Caenorhabditis elegans: one gene and its partners. The protein of the gene in region 1 interacts with the protein of each later gene in a pairwise test. Each region holds a gene or a part of one and is shown in the gene's direction. Other genes may lie near its edges.

Evidence for each region.
Region 2: the proteins of cnp-2 (region 1) and sap-49 interact in a two-hybrid assay, tested with the Caenorhabditis elegans proteins (one large-scale study listed by BioGRID).
Region 3: the proteins of cnp-2 (region 1) and dnbp-1 interact in a two-hybrid assay, tested with the Caenorhabditis elegans proteins (one large-scale study listed by BioGRID).
Region 4: the proteins of cnp-2 (region 1) and C09G1.4 interact in a two-hybrid assay, tested with the Caenorhabditis elegans proteins (one large-scale study listed by BioGRID).

Annotation. Positions count from the first base shown.
Region 1 is NC_003280.10:12,756,876-12,767,085, forward strand, and holds the start of cnp-2 (Calcineurin-interacting protein 2), read left to right. Parts: upstream 1-3,921; 5' UTR 3,922-3,945; coding exon 3,946-3,973; intron 3,974-4,380; coding exon 4,381-4,564; intron 4,565-4,899; coding exon 4,900-5,002; intron 5,003-5,778; coding exon 5,779-5,851; intron 5,852-5,894; coding exon 5,895-6,316; intron 6,317-6,612; coding exon 6,613-6,692; intron 6,693-6,747; coding exon 6,748-7,017; intron 7,018-8,064; coding exon 8,065-8,268; intron 8,269-8,315; coding exon 8,316-8,378; intron 8,379-8,423; coding exon 8,424-8,510; intron 8,511-8,881; coding exon 8,882-8,926; intron 8,927-8,970; coding exon 8,971-9,015; intron 9,016-9,066; coding exon 9,067-9,141; intron 9,142-9,193; coding exon 9,194-9,238; intron 9,239-9,285; coding exon 9,286-9,336; intron 9,337-9,383; coding exon 9,384-9,449; intron 9,450-9,492; coding exon 9,493-9,654; intron 9,655-9,698; coding exon 9,699-9,752; intron 9,753-10,074; coding exon 10,075-10,111; intron 10,112-10,168; and 1 more. Other genes in the region: Y46G5A.8 (F-box domain-containing protein), read left to right, coding at 271-760.
Region 2 is NC_003280.10:8,031,623-8,037,932, reverse strand, and holds sap-49 (Splicing factor 3B subunit 4), read left to right. Parts: upstream 1-2,165; coding exon 2,166-2,420; intron 2,421-2,469; coding exon 2,470-3,239; intron 3,240-3,312; coding exon 3,313-3,454; 3' UTR 3,455-3,683; downstream 3,684-6,310. Other genes in the region: C08B11.9 (uncharacterized protein), read left to right, coding at 1-391; arp-6 (Actin-like protein C08B11.6), read left to right, coding at 587-663, 711-1,148, 1,191-1,346, 1,392-1,553, 1,599-2,022; nrf-6 (Nose resistant to fluoxetine protein 6), read left to right, coding at 5,231-5,276, 5,543-5,824, 5,866-6,115, 6,159-6,269. UniProt on the Caenorhabditis elegans protein: Subunit of the splicing factor SF3B required for 'A' complex assembly formed by the stable binding of U2 snRNP to the branchpoint sequence (BPS) in pre-mRNA.
Region 3 is NC_003282.8:13,975,942-13,983,134, reverse strand, and holds the start of dnbp-1 (SH3 domain-containing GRB2-like protein), read left to right. Parts: upstream 1-3,287; 5' UTR 3,288-3,295; coding exon 3,296-3,405; intron 3,406-3,453; coding exon 3,454-3,531; intron 3,532-3,605; exon of another isoform or gene 3,606-3,626; intron 3,627-3,711; exon of another isoform or gene 3,712-3,732; intron 3,733-3,977; coding exon 3,978-4,066; intron 4,067-4,153; coding exon 4,154-4,415; intron 4,416-4,539; exon of another isoform or gene 4,540-4,560; intron 4,561-4,646; exon of another isoform or gene 4,647-4,667; intron 4,668-5,201; coding exon 5,202-5,661; intron 5,662-5,714; coding exon 5,715-6,179; intron 6,180-6,287; exon of another isoform or gene 6,288-6,308; intron 6,309-6,473; coding exon 6,474-6,588; intron 6,589-6,641; coding exon 6,642-6,763; intron 6,764-6,808; coding exon 6,809-6,958; intron 6,959-7,009; coding exon 7,010-7,115; intron 7,116-7,167; coding exon 7,168-7,193. Other genes in the region: tor-2 (Torsin), read left to right, coding at 1-451; gei-18 (GEX Interacting protein), read left to right, coding at 612-669, 906-1,010, 1,072-1,241, 1,299-1,596, 1,721-1,913, 1,958-2,048.
Region 4 is NC_003284.9:15,992,644-16,000,107, reverse strand, and holds the start of C09G1.4 (uncharacterized protein), read left to right. Parts: upstream 1-3,170; 5' UTR 3,171-3,186; coding exon 3,187-3,268; intron 3,269-5,669; exon of another isoform or gene 5,670-5,893; intron 5,894-6,376; coding exon 6,377-6,526; intron 6,527-6,994; coding exon 6,995-7,264; intron 7,265-7,464.

The DNA of each region.
Region 1 (10,210 bases):
AAGTCATCAAAGAGTACTCGAAAGTTGCCGCTTGCAGAAAAAGTCCCGTTTAAAGTTTTTTTTCGGAAAACTTTCAGGCACTATTTGATGGCTTTTTCAAACTTTTCAACTAAAATAAATGTTATTTTCAGATAGAACAACCTATTTTATACATTTCTATATTAATTTTAGATCAAAAAATTTGGATCATCATGTTGAAATAAGCCAATTTTGTGCACTTGCCGAAAAAAAAAAGACTAATAGAGCATACTCACAATGAAATATTTCCAGATGTGCACTCCGAGTAACATCTCAAAAAACGAAGAACCTCGTCCAGCAGTCTGCAAGACGCTTCACAGACCGTCCCAAGCATTTGTGCCAGCTTGATATAATTGCACGTCGAGACCATTTTATTCTCGGCTCTCGAATTGGATTTGATCGTTGTACGGAATTATATAAAGGAAGAGATATTGATAGACTATTGGGAACAACCAGTGACCTCCTGGATAATCTACATGTTGAGCACGTTAATCTGGATATAAGACGTCGAGATGAAGAAGTGGAGATTCACAAAATTGTCACAATGCTCCTGAGAAAAAAGGCCAATGTGTTCAAAACTCAGAGATATGAACAGTTTTGTGAATTTTTGTATGCATTATTCGGTTTTTATATTTTCTCATCTCTTTTCCTCTCTATCTTCGTCCGTTTCTCATTTCTTTATCCCATTTTTTTGATTTTGTTAATTGTAATTTTTTCTATTGTTTACTTGTGGAAATATTAGAATTACTTGATATCTAACATTGAATGAATATTTTTAATAGTGAATTCGTAGTCAGATATGTTAGTTTTTTTTTTGCATTCTGAATGTATAAATTTATGATCTAACTAATAAGGGGTGGACGGCATCTTAATGGGCAAATTGCAATTGCCGGTCTGCCAATTTGCCAAAAATTTTAATTTCAGGCAATTTGCTGATTTGCCGGAAATTACAATTTCAGGCAATTTACCGATTTGCCAGAAATGTTCATTTCCGGCAATTTGTCGATTTGCCGGAAATTTTCATTTCAGGCAATTTACCGATTTGCCAGAAATGTTCATTTCCGGCAATTTGTCGATTTGCCAGAAATTTTCATTTCAGGCAACTTGCCAATTTGCTGGAAATTTTCATTTCAGACAATTTACCGATTTGGCAGAAATGTTCATTTCCGGCAATTCGCCGATTTGCCAGAAATTTTCATTTCAGGCAACTTGCCAATTTGGCGGAAATTTTGATTTTTGGTAAATTGCCGATTTGCAAATTTCCAAAAAAAAAGTGCAAAACCACAATTTGCCAAAAATTTTCGACCATTGCAGTTTTTCCGGCAAATCCGATACTTTGACAATTTGCCGGTTTGCCGGAAGTTTTTCTTTGCCTGCCTTTTTTAGCAGACGTTCACAAAATCAGAATTCAAAAAAAAAAACTGAATCATGCAATTAATCATGATGAAAAGTAACCAAAAACAACACAAAAAGCCGAAATCGAATCAAAAAGTGAATGCATCATTGTCCAAACATATAAAACATTCACTTTGAAGTATATTTTACGATTTTCCGTTTTCGGAACGTCACTTTTCTTGCCAATAGGCGGGGTTGCCAAGGTAGTCTCACATTTTTGCAATTTTCTTAAAGATGCTTTTTGGAAGACATTTTATTCAAAAAAAAAATAGAAGTTAAAGATGTTTTCTATGTATAGCTCTTTTCTTTTTTGGTTACTGTTTAGGCAATTTACCGGTTTGCCGTTTTGCCGGAAATTTTTATTATTGGCAAATTGCCGATTTGCCGGAAATTTTGATATTTGACAAATTGCCGATTTGACGGAAATTTTGATATTTGGCAAATTGCCGATTTGCCGAAAATTTTGATATTTTGCAAATTGCCGATTTGCCGGAAGTTTTGATTTTCGGCGAATTGCCGATTAGCTGATTTGCCGGTTATTTTGATTTTTTGGCAAATTTCCGGTTTGCCTAGTTGCCGGAAAATTTGGTTTTTGGCAATTTGCCGATTTGCCTATTTGCCGGAAATTTTGATTTTTGGCAATTTGCCGGTTTGCCTATTTGCCGGAACTTCTCATTTCCGTCGATTTGCCGGTCTGCCGGAAGTTTTCAATTCTCACAATATGCCAAAAATTTTCGGCAAATTCGGTAAACTGGCAATGTGCCGATTTGTCGTTTTGCCGGACATTTTCAATTCAGGCAATTTGCCGGTTCGCCGCTTTGCCGGATATTTCATTTTTCAGAATGCTTTTAGACCTGAATTTGGTAATCAATACACTGAAAAATTTTATTTTTTTTTGATTTTTTTTTAAATTTAGGTTACTGTAGCCTCATTTCTGTGTGAAAACCGACACATTCCCATAAATTCATGGAAAACCCAGTTTTCAGGGATAAGCAGTGCTTCTGAATCTAAATTTCACAGTCAAAGCTGTTACTCTTCGAGGCAAAAAATCTTAGTGTCGGCACTTCATTTGAAAAATCTCAAGTACCTGTCACTCTCACATGTTTGACCCATTTTTTCGCCTACAGGAAAAACCTTCAAAGTAGCCTTATCCCTCGTTTTCCCTCTATTTTCTAATAATTTTTTTTTGTCCGTTTACACATGTTCTGGCGGTGGGCTGTCGAAAAAACAAATAAAACAGTCATTGAAACTATCTTTTTTTTCTGTGTAAATAGTAGTTTTTTGGGATTAAACTCACTTTTTTTAAAAAGATTTCCTGTATTATTTTGTTGTAAAAATTCACACGGGGTTCTGGCCTACCTCATTGCATTTTTCGCGCTCCATTGACAATCGCCCGCCGGACAACGCATGGGAAAGTCATGTACTCCACACGGACAACTTCATTTAGTTTTACAACTAAAACCGAGCCGCGACGCGACACGCAACGCGCCGTAAATCTACCCCAGATATGGCCGAGCTAAAATGGCCTAGTTCGGCAAACTCTTCCATTTCAGTTTATGAGGGACGTCGGAAAAAAACTTGAAAAACTACTTTTTTTTGAAATTTTTTTCAAATTCAGAACTATTTATGTTGACTAAAAGCTCTATATATTCCATAACAAAAAAAAAATGCAATTTCCCAAAAAAAAATTCGAAAAAAAAAACATTTATGTTTACTAAAAATCTCAGCGCTCACAGGAGCCCCACATATTTTTTTTGGATTTTTTTTCAATTCAAAATGAAATTTTTGCACACATATATGCTGCACACGGTGACTACTAGTATACACATATACATATATAAAGAAGAACCAACAGATTTTCGGAATTAGCGGCACCCGGGGCGGAGAGGATGATCCTACTCTCGGCGGGCTCGCCGAGCCCACTGGATGTTTCTCTCTCTCTTTGAGCACTTTTGGAATGTATGCATGTTCGTTTGAAATTACTTTTTATGTAGTTTTATGTTATAAGTTTTATTAGAAAATGTATGAAAATTCATTGAAATTGGGTTTGTTTTTATTTTTAAAAAATTTGCAAACAAATGTTTTTTAAATTTTTTTTCTGGAATTTCTAAGATCTCTACGAATCTGTTTTCTAAAGATATTTTAACATCTAAATTATTTATTTATTTATTTTTCCACAATAGTTTTTAAAATAGATTTTCTATATTTAAAATCTTTTTTGAAATTTCGAAAAAAATTTCCAATAATTAATTTTTTTAAAAAATTTAGAAAAAAACCGATTTTCAGAAGTCTTCTCCTTTTTAAAAAAATATATATCATGTACTTTTTTCTCAATTTTTTTTTGGCATGTGAATATATATGAAATTCGAAACTTGATGCCCTCCTGTCTTCCACTATTTCCTCCCACTTTCTTGACATTTTCCCCCCAATTTTCTTCTTATGCGGTCTTTTTTATGCAAAAAATTTGTACGTTTATTTATTTATTTTTTTTTTTTTATTTTTTTTCAGGAGCTTATAGTTTTTTTGAAAAAGATGAACCGTGGATATGATAGTTATAACCGTGAGTTTTTTTAAAAATTAAAAATTTCAAAATTTCAAAATTTGACTTAAAACTAATTGTAAGTACTTTCAGGTTTCTCCAAAATTTGTCAAAAAACACTGTAAAATATGCTGAAAAAAATTTTAAAAAATCGAAATTGTTGAAAATAGTTTTTATATACAAATTGGACAAAAAATTCAAAACAGAAAAAAATTGGAAACGACTGAAATTTATTTTTTCAAAAGTACAGAAAATTCTATTAAACATTTTATTGTAAAAGGCTAAAAGTAAGATCTTTTTCGCAATTTAAAATTATATGCATATTTTTTAAAAATCTGAAACTTCGATTTTTTACAAAATTTTAGAAAAATATTCCCATATTTATTCCTAATACAGTCCAAATATTTTTTTATGCCCCTAATTTTCAGGATCCCGATCTACATCATCTAGACCCCTGGATCGAGAGCCCTACCATGCTGTATCAGAGCTGTACACCAAGGAAATAACCCATACTCCAATTGGTCCAGCTTCAGACCTTCCTCCAGAAATTTTGGATATTCTTAAAGAAAATCCCCGAGCAACACCACAGTATACACCTCCGTTGATTAGGCAGTAGGTTTTTTAAAAATGTTTCCAAAAATGTGAGAACTTTGACAGCTTATATCTCAATTCTCCTAATTTGTATAAAAAATTGACAACTGATAAAATGTTTATCAACTATTTTTCTATATTTTTGTAGTTTACCATTACTCATTATCTTCAAAAAGAACTGAGATACGAGCTGTCAAAGTTGAGAAACAAAGAAACGAAAATCGGGGCAAAAAAATTTCCGAATTCATAGAACATTTGGAATTTTACCAAAACTTTGACTCAAATTTTTGAAAAATCTGAAAATTTTTGGAGTGTTGGAATACTATTAAAATCCAAAATTTGAAACAAATTTCCAGCCGCGAAAACACATGGACCCCAGAAAACTACCCAATTGTTCGTGTCCCTTCTGCACAATTCACAGATGTTATGACTGAACTGTACGACTATCACGAAGTAGAGGTAAGATTTATAAACTACAAACTACAAACTATAAACTACAAACTATAAACTACAACTACAAACTACAAACTACAAACTATAAACTACAAACTACCAACTACAAACAGCAAACTACAAACTACAATCTACAAAACTCTACCACACGGTCAAATTTTTTAAAGCTTTTTTTTTGTTAGTAAAATAAAGGACAGTCATTAGATGGCTGAAAAAAATTGGGCAAAAATAAATATTTGCCTAAATTTATTGAAAACGGGTAATTCTTGCGGATATATGCTTAATTCAGAAAATCTAGGTTTATCTTATCAAAACTATTGAAAAGTGGCAAAATTGGGCAATTTTTGGCAAAAATTCACAATTTTGAAACTCCTCTAACATGGTTAATTTTGTAGTTAGAGGACTCAAAATTGATCTCAGAACCCTAAAAATTGTCCTTTTTCAGTTATCAGTAGTTTTGTTTAAATTCGTTTTTTAAAAAATTTTTTGCCCAAAAAAGGACAGTCAAACGAACAAAAAGGACAGGCTGAAAAAAATTGGGCAAAAATAAAATATTGCCTAATTGTGTTGAAAACGGGAAATTCATATATGCCGAATTCAGAAAATCTAGGTTTAACCCATCAAAAACTTTTAAAAAGTGGCAAAACTGAACAATTTATGGTAAAAAATCACAACTCTCAAAGTTTCGTTGCTGACTGTAGTGTAGATTAAACTATACAAACTACAAACTACAAACAACAAACTACAAACTACAAGTAAGACAGAAATATGTTATATTACAGAAATACACACACCGATCGGTCACCCCAGACTACGAGCCACTACGGAAAGAGCCGGAGCTCAAGGAGCAAAAATGTATGTTTATTCAGTTTTTTCCTCTTTAACTGCTAAATTTCAGTGCCAACCTACCAGGTGATCCCTCCGACACCCGAAAAGAACACGCCACGTCACCAGCACCATTCGGGTATCACACTGTCCCCATCAGATTCTTCAAGGACACTCGGAGCCCTGCCAAAGAAGCCTCCAATGTACGAAGAGTATTTGCAAATGCAGAAGAAGGACGAAAATCGGAATATTCCTAGACAAGTCTCCTCGGCGGATTCCCAAAGGACGATTCGGAATAACAACGAGCTCAGTCACTTGAGACACATCGATTCCTCGTCGTCTTCGGAAGCTTCCGAGCCAGCGAAGGATCTTGATGATCGTGAACGTTATGTGTACACACATGATGTCTACGTGGATTCAACTACGGGGCGCCCGTTCACACCGGGGAGAGAGGATGTTCGGGAGAAGAAGAATTGCGATAAGTTGAAGATTAATGTGAGTCCTAATTTTGAGGCACCACGGTTTCAAGATCTGGTGGGATTTCGGATCTATTATTTCCGGATCTACGATTTCCGGATCTATGATTTCCGGATCTACAATTTCCGGATCTATGATTTCCGGATCTACGATTTCCGGATCTACGATTTCCGGATCTATGATTTCCGAGTCTACGATTTCCGGATCTACGGTGGTAGATCCGGAAAACGTAGATCCGGAATCCCACCATATCTTGAAACCGTGGTGCCTCTTAATTTTTTAAAAATGGTTTTCAAAAAAGAACAAACTTCCAGGTCTACTTCAAGCCTCCACACCCTCCAGTAGAAATTACATACAAGTTGGACGAAATTGAAATTGAGAAGAACGAAAATATGTGAGTCACCTGTCCTTGTTGACTAAAAACTTCAAAAAAAAACCTCCAATTTCAGTGTAGTAACGAAGCTCCGCCCATCCCGCTCCGACACTATATTATCGCGTAGTGTTTCCACAAGTCCGTCGTCAGTCACTGATAATATTCCAAAAACTTCAACTTCAAGAATTCCCTCAAGCGAAAACCCGAAAACGATGGAGCACACCACAACCAGCCGCCGCTTCCCAACTCAAACCTCTATTCTCAGAAAAGAGCACGAAATTGTGCAAGTGCCACTTCATCGGAGCCAATCGCTCAGGCAATCTAGAATTTCGGAGCATAGTAAACGGTTTGTTTGGTTTCGGAAAATTTTAAACATTTTTGAGATAGAATAAGATTTTGGCATTGCCGAAATTACAGTAATCCATTAGTTTTTCGTTTTTCTACAGTACTCTTACAGTACAATAGAGCCACAGTAGTCATACAACATCCCTACAGTACCCCTACAGTAATTATATAGTAACCACATTGTGCCCCGTTATTATCAAGACAGTAATCCTACAGTATCACTACAGTACTCTAAAACCACAGTAATCCTCTAGCACTTCAACAGTACCCCTTACAGTATCCCTACAGTAATCCTACAGTACTCCTACCGTCCCCCTACCGTACCCCTAAAGTAATTATACAGTAACCCTAATGTACCCCTTTATTATCCCGACAGTAATCCATTAGTACCCCTACAGTACTCTAAAACCACAGTAATCATACATCACTCCTACAGTACCCCTAAAGTTATTGTACAGTAACCCTACCATACCCCTTTATTATTCCGACAGTAATCCTACGGTACCCCTACAGTGACCCTACAGTGTCACTACAGTACTCTAAAACCATAGTAGACACTCAGCACCTCTACAGTATCCTACAGTACCTTTACAGTTATTTTACAGTAACCCTACCATGCCCCTTTATTATTTCGACAGTAATCCTACAGTACCCCTACAGTGGCCCTACAGTATCACTATATTACTCTAAAACCACAGTGATCCTAAAGCATCCCCACAGTACTCCTACAGTACCCCTACAGTGACCCTACCATAACCCTTTATTATCCCGACAGTACCCCTAGAGTATCACTGCAGTACTCGAAAGCCACAGTAATCCTACAATATCACTACAGTAATCTGAAGCCACAGTTATCCTACAGTACCCCTTACAGTACCCCTACTTCATTAGTACCCCATACAGTACCCCTACAGTACCCCTACAGTACCCCTACAGTATCCCTACAGTTCCCTTACAGTACCCCTACAGTCTCACTACAGTACTATACAGCCACAGTAATCCTACAGTACCCATTACAGCACCACTTCCAAAATATATTCAGTTCCAGATCCCTCGGCAAAACCACCTCTACAGTGAGCACAGAGCGTCCAATTCCGATCCACGTAGTGGAGGAGACGTCATCAATCGATATGGATGTCGTTTTTCCAAAAATGCCACATCATCAAACCGTGACAAACGTCAGAGTTCCTTCGAGCAGAGGATCAGCAATATCCAGAGCTCACAGTGAGCATCGCAGGTCGATTGACAGGAGGTAAAAAGTGATATGTAGCACATTTTTAATCATAATTTTTTTTGCAGCGAACCACGTCACCACCATCGTCATCATGTTCATTCCGAGACCCCTGAACTTCCATATACTAGGTGACAAAATATCTGGGCACACATTTGTATAGAAAGACTTTTCAGAGGGATCTCCAAGACTCCGAGTGTTCGAGAATACAATGTGAAGCGGGAAGGTCAGAGATCGCCAAGCAGGTCTCATAGATCTGAAAGGTACGGTCGATCCGTTCTTAGCTTCGGTTTCTGCTTAGGCGTAGGCCTCGGTTTAGGCTTAGGCTTAGGATAAGGCTCAGGCTTAGTCTCAGGCTTAGTCTTAGGCTTTGGCATAGGCTTGGGCTTGGGCTTAGGATGAGGCTTAGGTTTTGGTTTTGGCTTAGGCTTAGGCTTAGGCTTCGGTTTAAGCTTAGATTTAGGCTCTGGCTCAGGCTTAACATAAACTTTCGATTAGTATACTTTTTGTTGATGCCATCCACCAAGTATTTACGGGGTTCCCTAGTTAGAGTTAGGCTCACGCTTAGGCACAGGCTTAGGATTAGGCCTAGGCGAGCTACTAGTTCATACAATTTCTCGGTTTTTTTTTGCAGAAGCCCATCAGAGGTCCGTATCCCGGTGACAACTACACATACTCGGTAGGCTTTGAGAAATTTCTAAAAATTAAAAAAAAAATTTTCAGCCCGATTGCAAAACGCCAAAGCCCGGAGGAGCTGGATTATGGAAGGTGATTGAAACTGCCGAGCTCAGTTGCTGATAAAATTATCGAAAATTCCAGATTCGCGGATAAAAGTCAGCAGAACCGATTTCCGGGGGATCATCAGGCTAGGGAGGAGGACTTACCGTATACCAGGTAATTTTTTTTTAACTCGGGGAGCTTTCGGCAAACCTCGATAATTTTTCAGGGGAATTTCCAAGACTCCTAGCAATCAGGATTCCAGGTCGGAGAGGTAGGGTAGATTTCCAAAAATTTAAAAAAAAAACCAAATTTTTCTAGAACTCCGTGCTCGGATATTCACATTCCTTACAATAACCCTGAAAAAGAGAGGTACAGTAGCAAAACCTACCGTAACCCTACAGTAATCCAAATTTCAGAGCCTATCAGCAATCCGAGCGGTCGTCTTATAGATCCCACAAATCGGTGACCCCATCAGAAAAGTCGTAAGTTTTTTTTTATACAGTAGTCCTATAGTAGTAAATCCAGGTTACCCCGCAATTCGGAGACCCCCGAGCTACATTACACCCGAGGAATCTCAAAAACGCCAAGCGACAGGGTGGAGAAGTCAAGGTACCTATCACGTGGTGTCAGTACCCCACATACCCCATCTGAAGTGCACATTCCATACAATAATCCAGAGAAAGAACGGTAAATTATACCTGAAAATTGAAGTTTTATCGATTTTTTTGCAGAGCCTACCAACAATCGCACCGCCCGTCTTCGCCAAAGAGACGCCCGTCTGGAAGGTGAGAAAATCGATATTTTTCGATGAATTAATCGATAATTTCAAAGAAAAATCGATATTTTCTAAAATTTTTCTGATTCCGGCCACGGGGTTCTGGCCTTCCTCATTGAATTTTTCGCGCTCTATTGACAATCATTTAGTTTTAAAACTAAAATCGAGCCGCGACGCAACACGCAACGCGCCGTAAATCTACCCCAGATATGCCCCAGCCAAATTGGCCTAGTTCGGAAAACTCTTCCATTTCAATTTATGAGGGAAGCTAGAAATCCCATTAATTCCGGAGAAAAATTCTTCCGAAAAATCGATAATTTTCCCATTTTCAGAACAAATTCCCCCAACAAGTCCAGCAGCAGCTCCAAGGTACAGTAACCACCCCCCCCTCAAACTATCGATTTTCCAACAAAATTTGTTTTCCAGGCGAGACCATCGGCGGCTCCACTCGAAGAAATAGTGCATATC
Region 2 (6,310 bases), 4.7 Mb from region 1:
CCAATTGGTGAAAGGAAGAGCTTGCGATCGTCTGAAGCAAATTGCCGATCAAATGGAACAATTACATATGGCAGCTCGTGCAGTTCTCGAAGATGCTCAACGCGATGAGCATTTGCATAACGTTCCCTGTAACATGGAGAAGCAACCTGGCCGAATTTACCATTTGTACCAGAAGCAAGGAAGCATGAACAAATATTTCTCTATGTTGGCTCCTAACGAGTGGGGATACCAAGAGAAGAAAGAAGAATATCTTGGATCATATCGGTTGGAATATGACAGAAGCTGGACTCCTGTAGGAGAAATGGATCGTAAAGACGAAGAAGTCGCTCGTCTTCAGCAACTTCTTCAACGGGAAGGACCGGTCGCCTTACGTGGGAATCCTAATTTTTAAGAAGCATATGTAACATTCGTAAAAACGCATAGATTTTCAATTCAATTCCAATAACCGGGTTGTTTCTTGTGTGCCTGATACTTTCATGAATATTGTGATAATTCGAAATTATTTGTTATCTTATAGGTTACCACCCTACTCTTAATTTTTTATCTGGAAAAATCACACTACTCATTCTGTGAAATAATTTTGTAGATGAGTTTAACAACAATTATTTTTGACAATGGTGGCCATAATATGAAGATAGGTACGATAGACTCAGAGTCCCCTAGGTTTGTTTCTAATAAGAAAAATATCAATATAATTTAAATATTTTCAGATTAGTTCCAAACAGTATTGTGAAAGCGAAACATGAAAAGAAGCGGGTTTTTGTTGCACACGAGCAAGAAGAATGTTCGGACAAGTTTTCGCTATTCTATGTGCGACCAATTGAAAGAGGATATGTGGTGAATTGGGATACACAACAGCAAATCTGGGAGAAAACGTTCGGATCTATGGATGTGGAGGCGTCTACTTCTCGAATTGCACTCACAGATAATAACTATCTAATCCCAGCTCTTCCTGATGTCTCTAGTGAAATATTGTTTGATTATTTCGGCTTCACAGAGGTACACAAAACGTCTGCTTCGACTTTGGTGGCAAAACATTCAAATAAAATCAACAACGAAAAGTGTGCAGTTGTTGTGGATTCCGGGTTTTCATGGACTACGGTAGCTTCATTTGTGAATGGAATGCTTATTCAGGATAGTGTTATAAGGTTGGAAAGTGTTTTCAAACTACAATTAGCTTTATTTTTAAGGATCGATGTTGGTGGAAAAGCGTTAACAAATAAATTGAAGGACTGGGTATCTTACCGACAATTGAATGTTAGCGAAGAAACATACGTTATCAACGAATGTAAAGAGGATCTTTGCTTCGTCTCACAAAATTTTGATGAGAGCATGAAAGAGGCTAGGTAGGTATAAAAATGAAGAATACTAATTATATTGTTTTTATTCAGGAATCGATTTCAAGAAAATACAACAATGAAACGATATATTATGCCGGATTTCCACTCGACATTCCGAGGTGTAGTGAAAGACGTTAAAGAGCCACACGATCCACAAATTCCTTCAATTCATTTGGGAGTTGAGAGATTCGCCATTCCGGAAATCTTATTCAAGTTAGTAATTTCGGCAAAAAGTATAAACTATTTTATCTGTTGCAGTCCCTCGGATATTGATATTGATCAATGTGGTGTCGCAGAAGCTGTTATCGAGAGTATTTGTCAATGTCCAGAAGCATTACGGCCTGCTCTGGCAGAAAATATCATCGTGATTGGCGGATCGTCGTGCTTCCCAGGATTTCGTGAACGCCTGGAACGAGAAGTTCGATCAATGCTGCCAGCAGAATATGGATTGAATGTTTCAAATGACGTAATAAACCCACAAACTCATTCCTGGCATTGTGGTCAAGAGCTTCTCACTGCTTCTAAAGTTCCATGGATCAACCGAAAAGATTGGGACGAACGAGGAGACTCGTTGGAGTTCTCTAACTTTTTCCAGACTCTTGTGCAATCCGATGAACTGAAGGGAACTCGTAATTTCGATGATCAGAGGGAGAAATCCCCAAAGGAAGATGAAGATTTCTGAACTGATCTCTTATCACTTTAAAATAAACATGTTTTATATATATATATGCCAAAATATTTTTTTTTGAGATCAGAGGTTTATTTTCCTTTGTTGGACTTATTTTTTTTCATGTGCTGTTCATTTTTTAAAAATCAATATTTCAGATGTCAGCAGGGCCGATAGTGGAAAGAAACCAAGATGCAACAATTTACGTTGGTGGATTAGACGAGAAGGTGTCAGAGTCCATCCTATGGGAACTTATGGTACAAGCAGGACCTGTTGTCAGTGTCAATATGCCGAAAGATCGAGTAACTGCCAATCATCAAGGTTTCGGATTTGTGGAGTTCATGGGAGAAGAAGATGCAGATTATGCAATCAAAATTTTAAACATGATCAAATTATACGGAAAGCCAATTAAAGTAAGCTATCAAATATGTTTAGTTTATTATTTAAAAAAATAATATTCAGGTGAACAAAGCATCGGCTCATGAAAAGAATATGGATGTTGGTGCAAATATTTTTGTTGGAAATCTGGATCCAGAAGTCGATGAGAAATTGCTATACGATACGTTCAGTGCTTTTGGAGTTATTCTTCAAGTTCCAAAAATCATGAGAGATGTTGATTCGGGAACGTCTAAAGGATTCGCGTTCATCAACTTCGCTTCATTCGAAGCTTCAGATACAGCATTAGAAGCTATGAACGGCCAATTTCTTTGCAATCGAGCTATCACCGTCTCATACGCTTTCAAGAGAGATTCAAAAGGAGAAAGACACGGAACAGCAGCGGAGCGTATGCTGGCTGCACAAAATCCACTGTTTCCAAAAGACCGGCCACATCAAGTATTTTCTGACGTTCCACTTGGTGTTCCAGCTAACACACCTTTGGCCATGCCAGGAGTTCATGCTGCTATTGCTGCTCATGCAACAGGACGCCCAGGCTATCAACCACCACCATTGATGGGAATGGCTCAATCTGGATATCAAGGACAATATCCACCAGTACCACCACCTCCACCAAGTGTGACACCAATGCCACCTCCAATGCCGCCAACGCCAGGAATGACTCCTCGTCCACCACCACCACCATCATCTGGAATGTGGCCGCCACCACCACCGCCTCCACCAGGAAGAACTCCAGGACCACCAGGTATGCCTGGTATGCCTCCACCACCACCACCATCACGATTTGGTCCTCCAGGAATGGGTGGAATGCCGCCGCCACCTCCACCAGGGATGAGGTATATATTTTTGTTCTAAGTTGAAAATATCGTTCATGTTCACCGTTCGAACTTACACAATTTTTCTTTTCAGATATCCGGGAGGCATGCCGCCACCACCACCGCCGCGATATCCTTCTGCTGGACCAGGAATGTATCCACCTCCACCACCAAGTCGTCCTCCAGCACCACCATCTGGTCATGGAATGATCCCACCTCCACCACCTCCATCATAATTACTCGATCGGATTGGAATACCTTAATCTTTATTTTCAGAAACTTTTGTTTTTCACGAAAAGATCTTCATTTCAGCTGTTCTAAACTTTTACATTTTAAATTATTTCGTTTTATTCTCATTCCATAAACCAATTTCTATTTGATGTCAATTCAACTTCAATCATATTCCACAACCATCATCTCCTCCTCTCTCTTATCAATCTCATCACAATCACACCTTTCTTTTCCAATTACCACTTCGATACGTCAAGTCACGTTCTTCAGCGGTTTTTTGTTGCATTTTAATGTTCTCACACAATCTGTACGCCTTTTTCCACTATTTAAGACATCATTGATGTTCGCTGGAGCGGCAAATCCTATGAACTATAGGCAAGTTCAACGCCTAATAGAGACGTAGAGTGTAAGTGAGGTTTCCGGGAGAATTCGTCTCGCACCTTCCTCTCATTGATTCTATCAACGAACGGAACGAGTTAAACTAAAAAAAAAAGTGTAGAGAAATAGAGAAAGAAGGGGAGAGAAAGAACATGGACAATGACTGTATTCAACCGGAGGACACACCAAAACTAATTAGTCACCCGAAAACATCACCTACAATCATCACATTGCTTCTTCGCACTTTTTCCAGAAATATTATTCCAGTATCATTTTGATTTTCTCCAATTCAGTGTTTTTGTGTTGTAGAATTTTCAGTTTATTATTTTTGGAGTTCCGAGAGTATCTTCAGTTCAAATTTTGCACATTTATCTCCTTATTTAAATGAAATTGCTACTACATTCCTAGAATTTATGAACAAATGGAATAATTTTTATTAGGAATTTCTCGAATTATGATTCATTCTTCCATTTTCCATTCATAACAATCGTTCGTTTTTCTTGCATTTGAAATTTCATTCGTCAGTAAAAATTCTACAAAACAACATTGTTTCAAATAACCTGTTATTTATATAATTTTTAGGATGAGTTTATGAGCTCTAGAGGAAGAAACCAACTTTGCCCGTTTCCAATTATATAATTACAGTACTCAACTTTTCCAATTGTTCGTCATATACATATTTCCACACCAGAACTCATTTATATATATTTTGCAACGCATCAATGTTTAGCTTTCAAAAATTTTATGATCTAGAGAAGTTAAAAAATCACAAAATGTCGTAGTTAAAAATTGAGGACGTTTTATATACTGTTACAAAGTGTTACAAAGTAGCAATAATTCAGTTTTCATGTACTTCTTATAATTTTGGAAGTTCACTAAAAAAAAGTTACACGAGTTTTATGTTCAATCTATATCTTAACTATTCTTATTTGAACACTGTAGGCTCAAAATTTCAATTTTTCTGACAGTCTGGCATTTTGCCAAATCTCTGACTAAATATTTTGGAAAATCCACAATGCCGTGTTTTATTCAGATATATTGTCTTATTGACCTGCTGTGACTATATTTTGACAAAACTCTTGAGTTTCTAATTATACTAATGATTAGTGGTAACCCTACATATGTTATCTGAAAACCCCACTGATTCTGTAAAACGAATGTCCTTTTGATAGGTATTTCTTTTTGTTTCTGATACAATATTATATTATACTAGGGAGAGAGACTTAGACTGCCAAAAAATATTCCTTATCATTATAAACCTTTGTGCCTTGATTGCCTTCGAGCAAAAAAAACCGCCGACACTTAATGATTGACACTTATTCGCCTAATCTGTTCAATTCGTTTCACTTTCTTGCAACTTTTCATTGCCTTCCTGCTGCTTACTTTAAAACTTACAGATCAAAATGGGTAACATGCGGAGGCTGTTGATCTTTGCTGTTCTAGTAATATGTAAGGATAAATAATTACATTTTTAATAAAGAAAAATTACAAAAAGATCAAGGAAATTTGAACTGTTCATTACGATTACAGTAGATTAGAAACTTTCTCGGATGTTTCATGTTTCTTTTGTTGTGTATTTTGGATTTTGAACCATTTTATTTTATCTTAATTTTATGTTTAACTAGTCAGATATTCCATTAATTATATTCAAAAAAAAAACAGAGTGGCATAATTAATTAAATTCATGTTAACGATTAAAATGTTTATATTTACAGTAACCGTCATATCCAATTCAAAATCGAGTTACAAATATGATGGTTCATTGTTCTCAAGTAAAGAATTGGATTATGATGAGACAGACACTAAAGCAATGGGATCCGTTTTTTCAAGATATATGTCAGATTCCGATGCTCAGCTAATTCTTGATCTCGACTTTTTCCGTCATTTTTTCAATTACGCAGAAGCTTATAGAGATGGAGCTGAAGAGGGAAATCTTGAATTAATGAAGTATGCTGTTGAAATGGTTGAAAAATTAAAATCATTTGATATATCAATGGGTTAGTTTATAATGACTATATCTTTAACAAAAAACATTTAGCTTGCGTTGGAGACATGATGCACTTGGCATGGACTGGAGTAGAATATGCAACTCATGTTGAAGAGCATAAAAACTGCTCAGATTGCAAATGTACACCACTTTTCCAACAAAAGAAAAGTGAACGTCACTGGATTTTTAATGTTTTTGATGCAATGGGAAAGGTTCCAGCTGGTATTATGAGTGGAAATAACTTATGGGTGGGCTCATGGAGCACTTGTAGAAAGATTGACGTTGTCAAGAATGCTCAAGGGTTAGTTTGATTAGATGTAAAAAATAATTAAATGCGATTACAGACAAAAGTGGAAAGGTCAATATTGTTTGGCAACAATTGATGCATATGAGAGAGACAATCCACTAGTTTATTTTGGAAATATGATGTCTGGACCACCAGATAAACATTGCTAGTGAGTTAGAGGGACTACAAACTACCTATATAAGCACAATC
Region 3 (7,193 bases), on another chromosome or scaffold:
AACTATCTTCATTTTTCTAAGCAACAAAGGGAGCAAAGAAATTGCTAATATCGCATTAGAACATCATGAAAATGGTAAAATAAGATCACAACTCGAGTTGAAGCATTTTGAACGAACACTGATGCTTTCTGCATTCAATGAAGAAGGTGGTCTTCGTAACACTGATATGATCTCTAATCAACTTATTGATCATTTTATACCATTTCTTCCCTTATCTAAGTTCTACGTTTCCCAGTGCATTCAAGTACATCTTCGAAAACGCGGAAGACATGATTTGGCAAAGGATGGAGAATTCATGCAAAGAGTTCTTGATTCTCTTGAATTTTTCCCTGAATCTAGCAAAATATTTTCCTCGTCAGGATGTAAACGTGTGAATGCAAAGACTGATCTCGAAATTTCCAAGATGGGATTCTCACTCAATTCGAAGAAAGAGTTTAATGATGAGTTGTGAAAGTATTTTCTCCTGTTTCAAGATGTTGATAAATTTGTGTTCAATATTTTTTATGGTTCGGTGTTCTCTAAGGCTTTAAGTGGTTTGAAGTTCCAAATACTTATTAATTTGTTAATTTATGCATGTTTTTCTTTTTTTTAAATATCATTATCATCCTCAGATGACTCCGCGGAAAAATAGTGGAACGATGGGAATGGAATTCAACAAGAAAACTCAGTGTGAGTTTTTAAAGTTTGTAGAACGCCAAAAAATTTTGTTTTCTTTAATTTTTTAGGCAAATTTAGAATAAATTAAAAAATTGTAAACTTATGCAAAATTAGATTCTAAAATAGGTAGCAATATGTACACAAAAAAGATAGCAAAAAACGTAACGCCTGCTGTAGGTAAGGCCTATCTAAAAATCTACCTACAATGTAATCCGTAGTTTTCTATTCAGAAATGTAACGATTTCCAGATTATTCGCAATGCCAATTCTGCACTTTGAAAATTTGGTCAAACACGGAAATTGTTCTTGCTGGTGGAAATGTAATTTGCAATTTGTGCATTGCCGAAAAAAGCCGTGAGTTTTTTCCCCTAAAAGTCCAGAAATGTAACTATTAACAATATACATGCTACTTCAGATGCCGTTCAATTCGACAGAAAATATATGATCAAAACATTATCAAAGACATTTTCAAGAAAGTGGGAAATCTCGAATAATTTAATAATGACACTGCTGATTCTTTTGCTCTCTGCACTTTTTTTTATATCTCAAGGAACTTTTTCAATGCTTCAAAATGAACCAAACCAGGTTTGATTTTTCCACATAACTTTGTTCCTTTCGACAAATAAATTTGCTTATTTACAGGATCGAAACCCCTACCAAAACTACATAGAATCAGTAAGATCCTTTGTCAATTCGGATTTCTCAGATATTTCAAAAGAAAATCGGAATCTTTTGAGATTAATTGGTGAACAAATGTTTTTACATCCAGATGAACATGCTCCGCTTGTCATAGTTATTGCTGGTTTGAAAGCTAATGAGTTTTCTGAAAAATTAAACAAGGCAATTCAAAATTCTAAATCAGAGACAAATTCAAATAATTTACCAATTGAAATTGGAAATCAACTTGAAAGAGGAGAGCTACATGCAATATTGAACAATGGTTAGTTTTTTTTTAACTGTTTCACCAAGTTCATTAATTTTGGGCATTTTTGACACTTACGTTATATAGTTGTAAATGTATTTTTCCGAAAATCTCTTGAAATTTATTTCACTTACCACTTTAGCTCTCGCATCACAAATGACACCTAGAACAGCAGTCCTGACAAATATTGATCTTCTTGCATGGGATGCAGTTTTAGTGCTCCATGCCTTTGCGGACCATGGAACTTTTCCCATCCCAAAAACTGTACTCCTCCTAGCAGTATCAACAGAAGAAACTACTTATTCTGGGAATAGTTGTGATGGGAAAATTTTGAAGTAAGTGATTTTTATTTTTAAAATAAAAAGCAATTAAATTCCAGGCTTGTAACGAACCGCTGGATCGAAAATGGAGGAAACTATGACAATATTCCACCAATTGTAGCCAGGATTTCATATTTTATGTGCTTATAATAAAAATTATTTGTTTAAAAATTTAGTTTTTGTTTACTTGGAAATTGTGAAAAAATATGGAATTTTTAAACTTGGTTACTGCAATTTTGTTCACCGGGAAAAATTACTGTTTCAAAAGATTTGTTTAATTGAAAATCCTCATGTTTATTTGGTTCCTTTATATTAAAATTTTGATTAGAAAAATATTATTCACGAGAAAACAAAACAAGTTTTTAAGTGTTTCTGTGAAAATTTAGGGCAGATCAAGTGTAGATCACACAAAATTTTAGGGAAAATCTATAGAAATGCACATTTAAATGTGAAATTAGAAGAAGATATAATATGATCTACGTGTGATCTACTCAAATTTTTCTCAGAAACGCTCAAAACCAAAGGCTGACCGCGCGACAAAACGATTTTGAAAAAAAGTCCTCTTCGAACTCAGAGAATTTAAAATTTAAACTATATTTTGTAAACAAAAACAATTCTTTTTCCTGTTTGTTTTTTTCATCATAACTTTTTATCAGTTTTTCCGTTTATCAATTTAGGGTTCAGTTTACGAAAAAAATAAAAATATTTACATCAATTTTAAAGCCTTTTTCTTCAAAAAACTCGTATTCATTGATGACATTTTCGGTTCCTCATTATTAGTTTTTTTTTGCAGTTTTTTTCGGCATTTTCTTCCTCGATTTAATTCCCTCAATTTTGTGTGCACACAAGTGCTTTTTTTTGTGTGCGTGTTTGTTGTGTCTTGCCCCCTCCTCATCCCGTTGCGTCTCCTCAAAACATGACAAGTAGTTGAACGATAGAGCGAACTTGCATCTTTCGATTTCTCGGCTGGTGGGGCGGGCGACGTCGCAGCAGCACGTCTTCTTCTCGATGAGAATATCGATTTTTCATATCCCAACACGCACTTTTCATGTTTCAATTGTGATGGCTTTTCATTGAAATAATCCTTTTTTTACAACTGGGGTTTTTAGCTAAAAATTGGGAATTTTTGAAAAAAAGAAAATTTCACAAAATTGGTCTCTGGCTGGTCTATCGCTTACTAATTGTTTATTTTATAAAAATATTGTTTAGTTTCTCGTCTCACTGACGAAATCCAATCTAACACCATAGAAACTATAAACATTTTGCAATAGGAACTAGTGTTCTATTCGAAAATTGGAAATTTAATTGAATTTTTGATGTAATTTTCAAAAAAAAAGCTTGACTAACTCCGTCTGCGTCTGAACACTTTTTTCTCAAATTTTCCAAAATTTTGCAGTATGGCCCACCTCTCGTGGGTAAGAATTTCAAATGCCACACAAGATCCCGAAACGCGGTGTTCTGTAGCCCAAGATCAGATTGTTAAGGTGGTCCGTGAGGAGGGGGATTGGTCAGTGCCACGTGGCAGTGCCAATTTATAAAATCTTAACATTTCTAGGTGTCACATTCAAACCATCGAAGGGGTTTCCGGTCGGGTTCCCAGAGTTCTTACATTGCCCATCGTCGACCCGAAAAGGTTTTTGCTTTCTCTCTAAAAGATTGTCGTTTCACAAGATTTTGAAATTCCTTCTTAAAGGCGCACGGATTTATTTAGATGGGTCTCGGCGCGAAAAAATTTTGCGATTGTTTCTTCGTTTATTATGCGAATTTCACCGCTTTGTTTTTAAATATCAGTTTTCAAAGTACAAATACACTCTTTTTCTATAATTTAAGATTATCGATTTCCTTTTAACTTAAATGATTTTTAGCTGACCGAGAAACAGAAAAAAATTTTAATACAAATTTTCTCTGTGTTTTGAGCACTGAAATAATTTTTAACACGAAAAAAAGACTACCACAAACTTATTCGCGCGCCGAGACCTATCTGAATGAACCCGTGTGCCTTTAAAATAGCATGGCAAAATTTTGTGAAATAACAATATGCATTTCATTTTATCTGAGACTGTTTCTATATTCTTGCAGACAACCTGACGAGCAGGTGTATTGCTCAATTGAAGCTTACACCTCTATCCGCTCCGATGATCTCTCATTTGCAGAATTTTCAATCTTTGGTATATACTTTTTCCAACAATTTATTTCTCTAATTTTTGCAACCAATCAGTTAACTAACCAATTTTATCAATCAATCACATTTTCAGTAGCAAAACCGTCGCGTTCAAATCCTGGTTATCTGGACGGATTCCTGGTGAATGACAACGCTGTTCAAATAGGACGCCGTGGATTGTTACCGGAGGCACATTTGGTCAATTTGCATGTTTCTGCTGAAAGTCCGATGAAGCCGTCATTCACCACGGATTTCAGTGAGGCTGATGTCCGATTTCGGACGCCTGCCACTGCTCCGAAAGCGGCAACTTCGAATTATGCAGTGTCGCCGTACGCTAGAGCTGTTTATGATTTTCAGTGAGTTTTTACGTTTAATGAATTGAAATTTTTTTTTCAAATTCAAAAACACATTTAAAAAATTTGTCTTCCAACGTGGTGCCCACTTTCAGTTTTTTTTCGTTGATAATTTCGCTAATTTTTACCAATTTTAATGCTATCATCACTAAATTGTGCTCGAAAACCAAATTTTTAATAGAAAGTGCGTAACAGTAAATCAATATTTAAATCACTTTTCAAATATGCCAAATATTTGCATTAAACACATCTCTATCAAAAACCAAAAAGTCAGGAAAAAATATATATGGCAGTTGAAACGGGAAAAGTGTTACGCCTTTTTAAACGATTTTTTCACAAATTTTTGGATTAAATTGGTTAAAATACATAACTAAAATATGATTTTATCATGGCCGTTGTAAAGAAAAAAGTTAGCACGTGCAAGAAATAAAATATTACATGAAGATTAATTTATTTTTACAAACTTTCCATTAAAAATGTGGTTTTTGAGTTGCAGTAATAATCTTGACTCACAAAATATCTGACGCTTTATTTTTTGTCATGACTGTTTTGGGTCTATGAAAACAAGTAGAACTAGTTATAGGTAATTTTTTGTTGGCTGAGCATTTTTCAATAACATTCCTAGTTCTCGAGTTATACTCATTTAAAATGGATACTTTTTTGGCCAGTACTACTGTATCTTATTGTGAAATATTGTCACGTCAAAGTAGGATAAATAATGTGTTTTTATTCAGTTTCAAAATTCATTTCAATCTTCTCAATATTCTAATTTATCTATATATTTTCCAGAGGCGAATTTGAAAACGAGCTCTCTTTCTCTGCCGACGAAATCATCAGCTTACGTCGTCGAATCGATGCAGAATGGCTTGAAGGATCGATAGGATCTGCTCGTGTCGGAATATTCCCCACTTCTTTCGTTCAAATCATCGTTGATCTACCTGACGATGACACTACATCGCTTCAAAATAACCGACGAAGCACGACCACCGAGAATGATGGAATCGGATTTGCGAATGTTCGGCACGCGTTTTCCGGTCGTCAAGGAGATGAGCTGACTGTGAATGCTGGAGACACTGTTCGAGTACTACGAATGGTCAATGATGAATGGGTTATGTGCAAGGATCCAGATACAGAGAAGACTGGAATTGTACCTGTAGGATTTTTAGAAGTTTATCTGGATGAAGAAGATGACGATAATCAATCTTCAAATGCTATGAGGCGTGGAACTGGAGGGACCAGCGATTTTACGGTGAGACTTGAAGAAAATAGGTTTTTATAGTTAAATCAATTATTTTTTTTCAGTTTGGTAGCTCCAACAATCGTTCCTCCTTCATCTCAAATGCTGAATCCTCATCCGATTGGAGACCACCCGCTGGAAGAACAAACACCGATTGGGCAACCTTTGAAGCAGTTCCACCGGCAGCGCCTGCATCAAAACCTGCCCAAAATTGGGCAACCTTCGGCGAAGAATGGATTGCTCCAGTTCAGCTAGCAAAGACTTCAGCTCCAGCCCGACCACCACCTCCTAAGCAAAGTTCTATTCAATCACCTATCAATGATATTGGCAACGTGGCTGACATGTTTGGAATGACAGATACTCCAAAACCAAGTAACCCTGCGATCCAGTCTGCTGGCAGTGACTTCGAAATTGGACTGATTTCCGCCACCGAAGGAGCATCAAATGATGAGGATAAACGATGCAGAATCATTGAGGAGTTGATAAGCTCGGAACTACAGTTCATCAGTGATATTAATTCCTATACAGAGGTATAGTTCAGGGGTGCACGGCATTTCAGCAATCGACAATTTTATCTTCAAAAATTTTTATACTGTTTCAAAATTTTCATTTAAAGTCTGACGAAAAGTCTATGACACTAATACGTCTGGGCGTTTACTTTCATTTACTTTCAGCAATTGATCTTTTCAGAAATTTTCGCCATTTAGCAATTTTTTCTCCTGTTGAGAAAATATATTAAGTACTATCTTAAAATGGCTTTAACACCGATGTGTGTTGTTTATTATTTATTCAATCATCACATTTCAATCAAAAATAATTTCCAGGCTGTAGACGGAACTCCTCTCCTGAATCAAAAGCAAAAGGTTATTCTGAAAAATGGATGTGCTCAAATTGTACAGCTCTCGGCTAATCTTGTCCAACTTCTCACCAATGAGCAGAGTGAGTGCTAAAATTCCAGTTTTCAGTATTTTATTTTTTTAAAATGTTTTCAGTCAAACCACAAGATGCTCAACTAATCGGTGCATGCTTCCTACAACTTCGAAAACCATTTGCTCAAACTTATGGTTTTTACTTTAGAAATATCGAGCATATCAATGCTCTTACCAACTCGGCGGTAAGCTTTTACCTGTTGTTAAAATTAAAAGTATATGAATTTCAGAAACATGAGAAAACTATGGAATCAGCACTTCAGGATATTGTTAAACGTATGCGAGAAAGTGGATCCGTTGTTATTGACGGACCAACTGCCGTTTCGAGACCCATCCAAAGAGCCACCAAATATCCGCTTTTCCTGAATGAAATTGTCAAGGTTTTAGAAAAAATGGCCTTTAAGAAATTCCTAACTCATTAAATTTTTTAGCTCACCCCACTTGTTCACACAGATCATCCAAAATTGACAGAAGCCATCAAGCAAATGTCGAATCTTGGGCAGAAAATGAACGAGTCGAAGAGAAGGAAAGAGCTCAGTGCGTACACTTTTTGAAAAAAATTTTGAAAAGTTAACTCTAACATTTCCAGCTCAAAAATACATGTCCGACGACAAG
Region 4 (7,464 bases), on another chromosome or scaffold:
ATAGGAGTGGTTTTTAACAATTTACCCACTGGCGCTACTCCACCTTTAAATATTGCAAATCAACATAAATATTATCGATTCTGTACCTAAATTCTCAACTATTGTCATCTCGGTAGACATGTTCTTTCAGTGCAAACTTAGAACCGGCTCTGCCAAAGATCACTGAATATATTAATTTCCTGGGCCCATTAAATATGCATCTATTCCTACTTGAAAACGTAAAACCTAAGAAATATTGAATAGCAAACGAAATAGGTGGTACATTTTTCAGCGTCTGGGGATGCCCAGCATGTAAAGTTTACTTTTTAATTTTGAGATGAGAAAACTGGTTGATATGATTTCATTTGCCAAAATTTGGAAAAATATGAACTTTTGAGGAAATCCAAAGCATTGTCGCATGATCCGACCCCTACAATGTTTTAATACAAATAATTAAAACAAAATTACAGTATCAAAAATGCAGAAAAAACTAATTTTTTTTGGTCGATTTCCAAAATTATCAGTGGCAAACACTGAGTAATTGCCACTTTTTGACAGTAAATGAAAAATTTTCAAAAAAATTTTTGAAACGTTTTATTATGACATTCAATCTTCCGGGCACCATATGAGTAGTTTTTAATACTTTCCCCACTGGCGCTACTCCACTTTTAACTTTCCTTTACAGAAAGAAATGACGGAGTTAATTTTAGAATAGTTCATAGTTTGGTGTTTTAAGGTAATTTTAAACTGTAGAAATTTTTTGGAGGATTTGGAATTTTCAATTTAAATTTTTTAGATCTTGCTGATCACATGCCAATTTAGAATCCATATACCCTACTTATATATAAACTTTATTTCAGTTTCTCTGAAAATGTTCTGATGCTTTTCTTCTGTTTTTTACTAAATTCAATGAGTACAGCAAACTAAAAAGATATACTTGAACAAATGTTATACTTTTTTATAGAAAAATCGTTGACTGTTTTCAAATGGCTAATAGTTCCTAGTTCAATAAAACAATCCAGCCAGTTCAAAACTTACCGAGCCCACCACACCCAAACTCCCTCTCAGCTATTCCTGATATGGAATGGCAATTCAATTCAAATCAGTACAAACATTTGAAAAGAGAAAAGTCTCGGAGAAGAGGGAGTGCATCATGAAACGCGTCACTAACAATCAGAGGGGACTAGCAGGTTTCCGGTCTTTTTCGAAGAAATCAAGCTTTATGATACGATAACTATAGTGAGCCCCTATTTTTTTCTCGGCTTTTGAAATACTATTTGAAAAATAAAATGGTATGACGTGCATAGATGGTCCTATCAGATTTTTTTTGTGGCGAAATAATTTAACATCTTACTATTAGTTCTGTTAATCGGAACGCATTTATTACAAGTTTTCCGACAAATTGAAAAGTATTTTTTTACCCATTATCTATTACCCGTTGCATAAATTATCAATCTTTAGTTTTGTTCGCTATTTTCAGTATTCTTCTTCTTTCTTTTTCTCCCCATTTTTTCGCGATAGATTTATGTGTTTCCTGATACATCACGTACATCCTGCTGCTTCGGCTCGCACAAAAAGAGAAGTTCGTCGCTTAAGAGTAAGTACATCATTCACTAAGGCATCACAACCATCTGGCGAGATTAAACATGTGTTTAACGAGAGGGGGACGGGATGGAACCCTAACTTTTGACGTGTGTGTGTGTCTACCGCCATTCGGGTGTTAGATTACCAAGCAATAATGCAAATGGGTTTGGCGGTTCAGATACTGATCATAAGTGAGTCACATTTTTGGTATTGCGGTAGTTTTTGAAGTTTAGAATTTTGAAGTTAAATTTTTCATAGTCCTCTTTATAGTCATTACCCTCAATTTAAAATTAAAACCCAATGACAATCACGAAAAAGTTTGCAATACCAGTGGTTTTATTAAACATAAATATTAGGGCTTTCATGCAGGCGACGTCTGCCTCGTGCCGCGAGCCGCGCCTCCTGCTTAGTGCTGCGCGGAACCCGAAAAGTGTCGGCCGCTTCCATGGAGGTCCTAATAGTTATCATCAAAAGCTTTTGGGGTCTCTTCTGAACAATCTCGCCATTTCTATGTTTTCGCCAAAAAATCCTAGTTCTATGTAATGTTTACACTGTATTCAAGTTCGTTTTTTTTCACTTTTCCAGAACATTCCTTGCTTTTCTTCTGTACACCCACTCTTCTATTTTTTTTCTTGTTATCACATTGTTCTGAACGACTGCATTGTGTGTTGTATGACCTTTTCCTTTTCGTGATCAATCCGTCCCTGGGGACAGTTCTATTAGGTCGGTGTGCCCACGAATGGTGTGCATTCTAGAGATAGTAGTGAAGAAAAACTGTTTTTTTTTTGCTTCAAGTTCGAATGCCGAAGTTGGTGTTCAAACATTGAATTGTCAATGGGGACACAAGTTGTTTTTTGTTTTTTTTTAATAGAAAGTTTTAGGTGCATTGTTTGGTTATTTTGGAAGAAAGCTGTATTTTTGAAAGCGTGCTCTTAATCTTTTTTTCCGATGCTCTTTCAATCAGTTTCCTTACTCATCATAGTAAAATCCGATATTTCTAACAATACGAGGGTAGCTATTTTTCACTATTTAAAGATTAAAGGGTCAAAGGACGATCCGTTCTCCAAGTGCTATGCACTGCGGATCTGGGACTCAGGTACACTGCCTGGTGGTGATCCCACTGGGTTGTAATTTAAGCCACGTCCGAGCCGGGGACTGTGGCCGATAATCCAGTCTTGGATTGCTCCACTTCCCAATAGGGGCTGGGTGAACCTAGGAAGTGAGGCCGGACTTGAACTCGTGACCTCCAGATTGCTAGCGGCCACCACTACCGACTGAGCTATTTGCCCCCTTATATATTTAATTACTCTTGATCAAAACACACCTAAAACTTCCAAGACGTCAGTACGTGCACCAGTGCCAGTCACGATTGTGTCCACTTTACATATATATCCAATTAACAGTGTCACTTTTCACATCTTTACGTCCATCTCGCTTTTTTTTCGCCTTCTTTTTTTCCCCTACTTTTCCGCAGCCCCCAAAAATTGAGAACATACCTTAACTAGGCCGATTATATCCCATCAGGTCTTTGATGTTATCATTTGTTTCTTTACCTCTGATATGTTATCTTTTTTTTCAAATTGTTCTCTTATAAACTTACAATTTTCAGAGACACAAATCACAATGTCTTCTGGAAATCGGCAGGCTCCAATGCCCCCACCAAAACCTCGAAATTTGGGGCGTGGCCAGTTTTATCAACAAGGAGGTACGTCATAATTATTTCTCACTTTTTTTTCCAAATTCAAAATTAATTTCTTCTTTTTTGCACCAGTCATTCAGTATTCGCTCGTCATCTACAAATAGAAAAGGGAAAAATTATGAATTTTCAATAGACGTACCTTTTTTTGAATACGTGTCTTTTTCGCAAAAAATGTTTTTTTTCTGTGATTTGTTTCTAATATTTTTTGTAAGAGCAAAGTTATTACCTACCATATGCCTAAAATAAATGTGGAATACTAGATTTCGAACATGGTGCATCGACTGGAAAATGTTTTTGGCGCTTGTTGCTTAAAAAACAGGTTACAAATATTTATTCACGTTTTTTTTGGAACATTTACTATGTAATACATAATTTCTTTTAACCGTTTGAACAATTTTTTTCCTGTTTTTTGCTCTAGTCATTTAGTATTCGTTCATCATGAATTATTTCCGAGCTAAAAGAGGCAAATTATGAATTTTTCAAAAACGTACTTTTTCGAATGCAGTGGTGTAGCCATTTTTGCACAATTATGTTTTTTACATGTTTCTATGAGTTCAGTTCAGCCACAGTTTATGGATACAGATATTCATAATATGAAAGATATTTTAAACACGTAACTACTTCTGGAGTTTTTTTTTTTTTATTTTTGTTTAGAATTGTGAATATGCTCCGAAATCGGTCTTTGCAGAATTTTCAAAGTAACATATTAAAAAATTATGAACATTATATTTTTTTCGGTAAAATGTTTGGTATTTTTTAACGGAATGTTTTAAAAAATTGCAAAATTTTTTCGCTATTTTTCTTTAAAAGTGGAGTAGCGCCAGTGGGAAAGTTGTTAAAAACCACTCCTTTGGTCCCAAAATGACCACATATCATAATGAAACTTATTTATTGTCAAAAAGTGACAATTACTCAGTTTTTGCCAATCATAATTTTGGAAGTCGACCAAAAAAATGTTTCTACATTTTTTATACAGTAATTATTTGGATTAAAACATTGTAGGGCCCGGAACATGTGAAATTGCTTTGGATTTCTTCAAAAGCTCTTATTTTTCAAAATTCTGAAAATTTGCCAAAGTTTAACCGGAAATTATGAAAAGCCTGAAATTTTTTGAATTGTATTATTAAGATATTTGGTCTTTTTAGATCATAATGAGTGTCTACTCCATGTTTAAATAATACCCGTTTTTGCCTATTCCCCAAAACTCCAGTGGCCATTAATAGTCTGCAAGAACTAATTTCGGAAAATTTAGATCTGAAAGTCATTGAAACAAAACAAACTCTATTAAAATTTTAGGAGCGCATTTCCGCTATTTAAAACTTTTCAATCGTCTCTGTGAAATAAATGTTTTCAAATTAGGTAAAACGTTAGGTAAGTCTTGAGTAATTCTTAGTTAGTGTTGAAAACGTTAGTGTAGAAAAAATTTTTTTTGGAGCAATTGAATTTAACTGCTAAATTGTGCGTTTGTATTCCAAAATTTTGAAGCGAATCTAACAGATATTTGATCTCTGGCTTTCAATTGCAAAGTAATTCTCCCTTTTTTGTCGCTCACCACAAAGCGTCAAGTTTTCTCAGTTTCAGTGTAACATGCCATACACACCAAAACGACAAGCTTTTCAAAATAAGAAAAACGGAAAGTGAGCAAGTGACGCGGCGCGCGGTCAGCGTTTTTTTTTGTAACCCATCTCAAATGCCAAGTCTCTGTGTTCGTGGACCTTTTCAAGCGAGACTATGTCTGTGTATGTGTGTGTGCCTTTTTCATTTTTGCTCCCGAAGAGCCCAGTACTACACATTCAGAACTTTTACACTTCTAGCTCGGCACCATGTGCTGATCTTGGTCCAACAAACCCCAACAAAAGTGCGTTCTGCGTTTTGCCCGCAACCCATTCCTGCTTATTGCATTTTGAGGAAGAGCATTCAGACAGCGCCCATGATGCAGAATATTTGCGCGTTTTTTTTGAGTGTGTAAACGGAGAGCCCATTCTGAAAATAATCATTGGTTGCTGAAGAGGGCAAAGAATCGTAGCGCTACCAGTGTTTACTTGAGCTTGATCTTGGAATTTTGATTGGAACCTTTTTGATTTGAAATATAATTTTTGAACAGTATACTGAAAAAGTATGAAGCTCAACTGAAGCATATTGAGCTGAAAAAAGTAAATCTGAAATGTTCAGCACTTTTTTTCTACTTCCGATGTCTTTAAAATTGCTTTAAAAATATACTTACAGTCAACCATTTTAGAAATGCAAAACAATTTTTTCACTGATTTGTTTGATAAAAAAAACCACGTGGGGTCAAAGTGTCCCATGTTGGTTTGATCTTCAAAAAATGCGGGAGAACTTTTCCCCTGATTTCGTATGGCTAACCATGTGTGCTGACGTCACATTTTTCTGAAAAAAAAATTCCCGCCGATTTTGTAGATCAAACTGTATTAGGACAGCCTGACACCATTTGAAAATGATGCAAAAGATTTTCAGATCGGCTTCAAAGAGCTTCAGTTTTTCTTCAGACTTCAGACTTTCAAAGATATAGGCATTCCCAGTGCTCCTCGAGAGCATGCCTCACTTCTCCGTGTGGTCGAACCGAACCACTTCAACCCTTAACAGGCACGAGGGAGTGGACGAAAAAAAAAAAACGAAAGAAAAATGTGCCAAAACTTTTTTTTAGTGAGGGATGGGGTGTTGCACTCTCGTTTTGCCGTCCTCTTTCTTCTCCCCTGCTCTCTACTCTTCGGTAGATGTCATCAATAATTCTGTCCAAACATGCTTTAAACTCATTGTTCTTCCTCTCCTGATCCCCTTGTTGCTGCCGCCACCAAAAAACGTCACGTTCCACTTCTTCTTCCTCTCCTGCTGCTACTTTTTGCAGTTTCTTTTCGCCTATACATTTTCATTTTTTTGTCGGCGGTTACTACCGCTCCAGCTCCTACTTCCATTTTTTTCATTTTCATTTTATCTCATTTATAATGCGGACATATCGCGTTTCCCCCCAAACAGACCCTTTTTTTTTGGTTTAAGGCCGTGAGAAATAGAAAAGAGAGAGGAGGTGGAGAAGTAAAAGTAAAGTAAATGAAATAGCAGAGGTTATTGCACTTTCATATTTTTTTTCATTTGCAGGGTATCTCACCCCACAAGACAGCGACACGGACAGTGGCATAAGTGCAGATTGTGATCAAGGTTCACCGAGAGCAGCTGCAGGGTTTGGTGGAACAGGGTTTAACGGTACTGTCAACGGACAGCAAGTGAACTCCCAGAGGAGGATACCAGGTGAGATAATGGTATTGGTATTTCTAATGTTGAGGCAAAAAGGAAGATTAAAGTTACATTGCTAGTGGAGTCAGAAAGTCTCATTTCGCTTTGATCTACAGAAAATGCGGAAGGTGAGACGCAGACATCTCATCTGATTTGGCATGGCCCAAGAGCGTGCTGACACATTTTGACACATACAAATTTTTAGGGAAAAAATCCCGCATTTTTTGTAGATCAAACTGTATTGGGACAGCCTTAACTTCCCGTGAGAGGGCAAGAGTTTCTATAAACGGTTCAATTATTTACAAAAAAAACTCAGAAGTGTTGCTAAAAATTTGGACGGCCCATGTCGATTTTTAACACGATACATGCGCAATATTTGCATAGTTTTTAGTGGATGAAATTGTCAATAAAAAATTTTTGAACTGCGGTACTGTTTTGTTATCAAATCCTTACATCTTCGTAGTCACCTTCCACATTTTTCAGATCTCCCCCCTGGAGCATATCAGAACTACCGTAGTCACTCATCGGCCGACTACCTCACGCCAAACTCGGCGCGCAAGATTGCCAGCTACAGCACCACACCCCGACGGCTACCACTGCAACCCCAACAGCAAGCACCTGCAACGGCCACGAAGGCCAAATACCGAGTCAGATTCGCCGATGAGGTGGACAGCGGCGCGTCGACGTCAAGCGGAACCTCCTCCACACACATTTCGCCGAGAAACGATCCACAGGAGATGCTGATGAATTCAGGTGAGCACGGGTTGCAAATTCTATAAATTAAACTTTTTAAGTAAACTTTTTTTTTGCTCGAAAAAACACTGCTCAAGTTGTAACTAATTTATGATTGATATGTGTGTCTTTACTTTTTTCGGGTATACACTATGCTTCTGTATTGAATTTATTATATATTTTTCTGGAGTAGTAAATTATATTTTATGTTTACTATATTT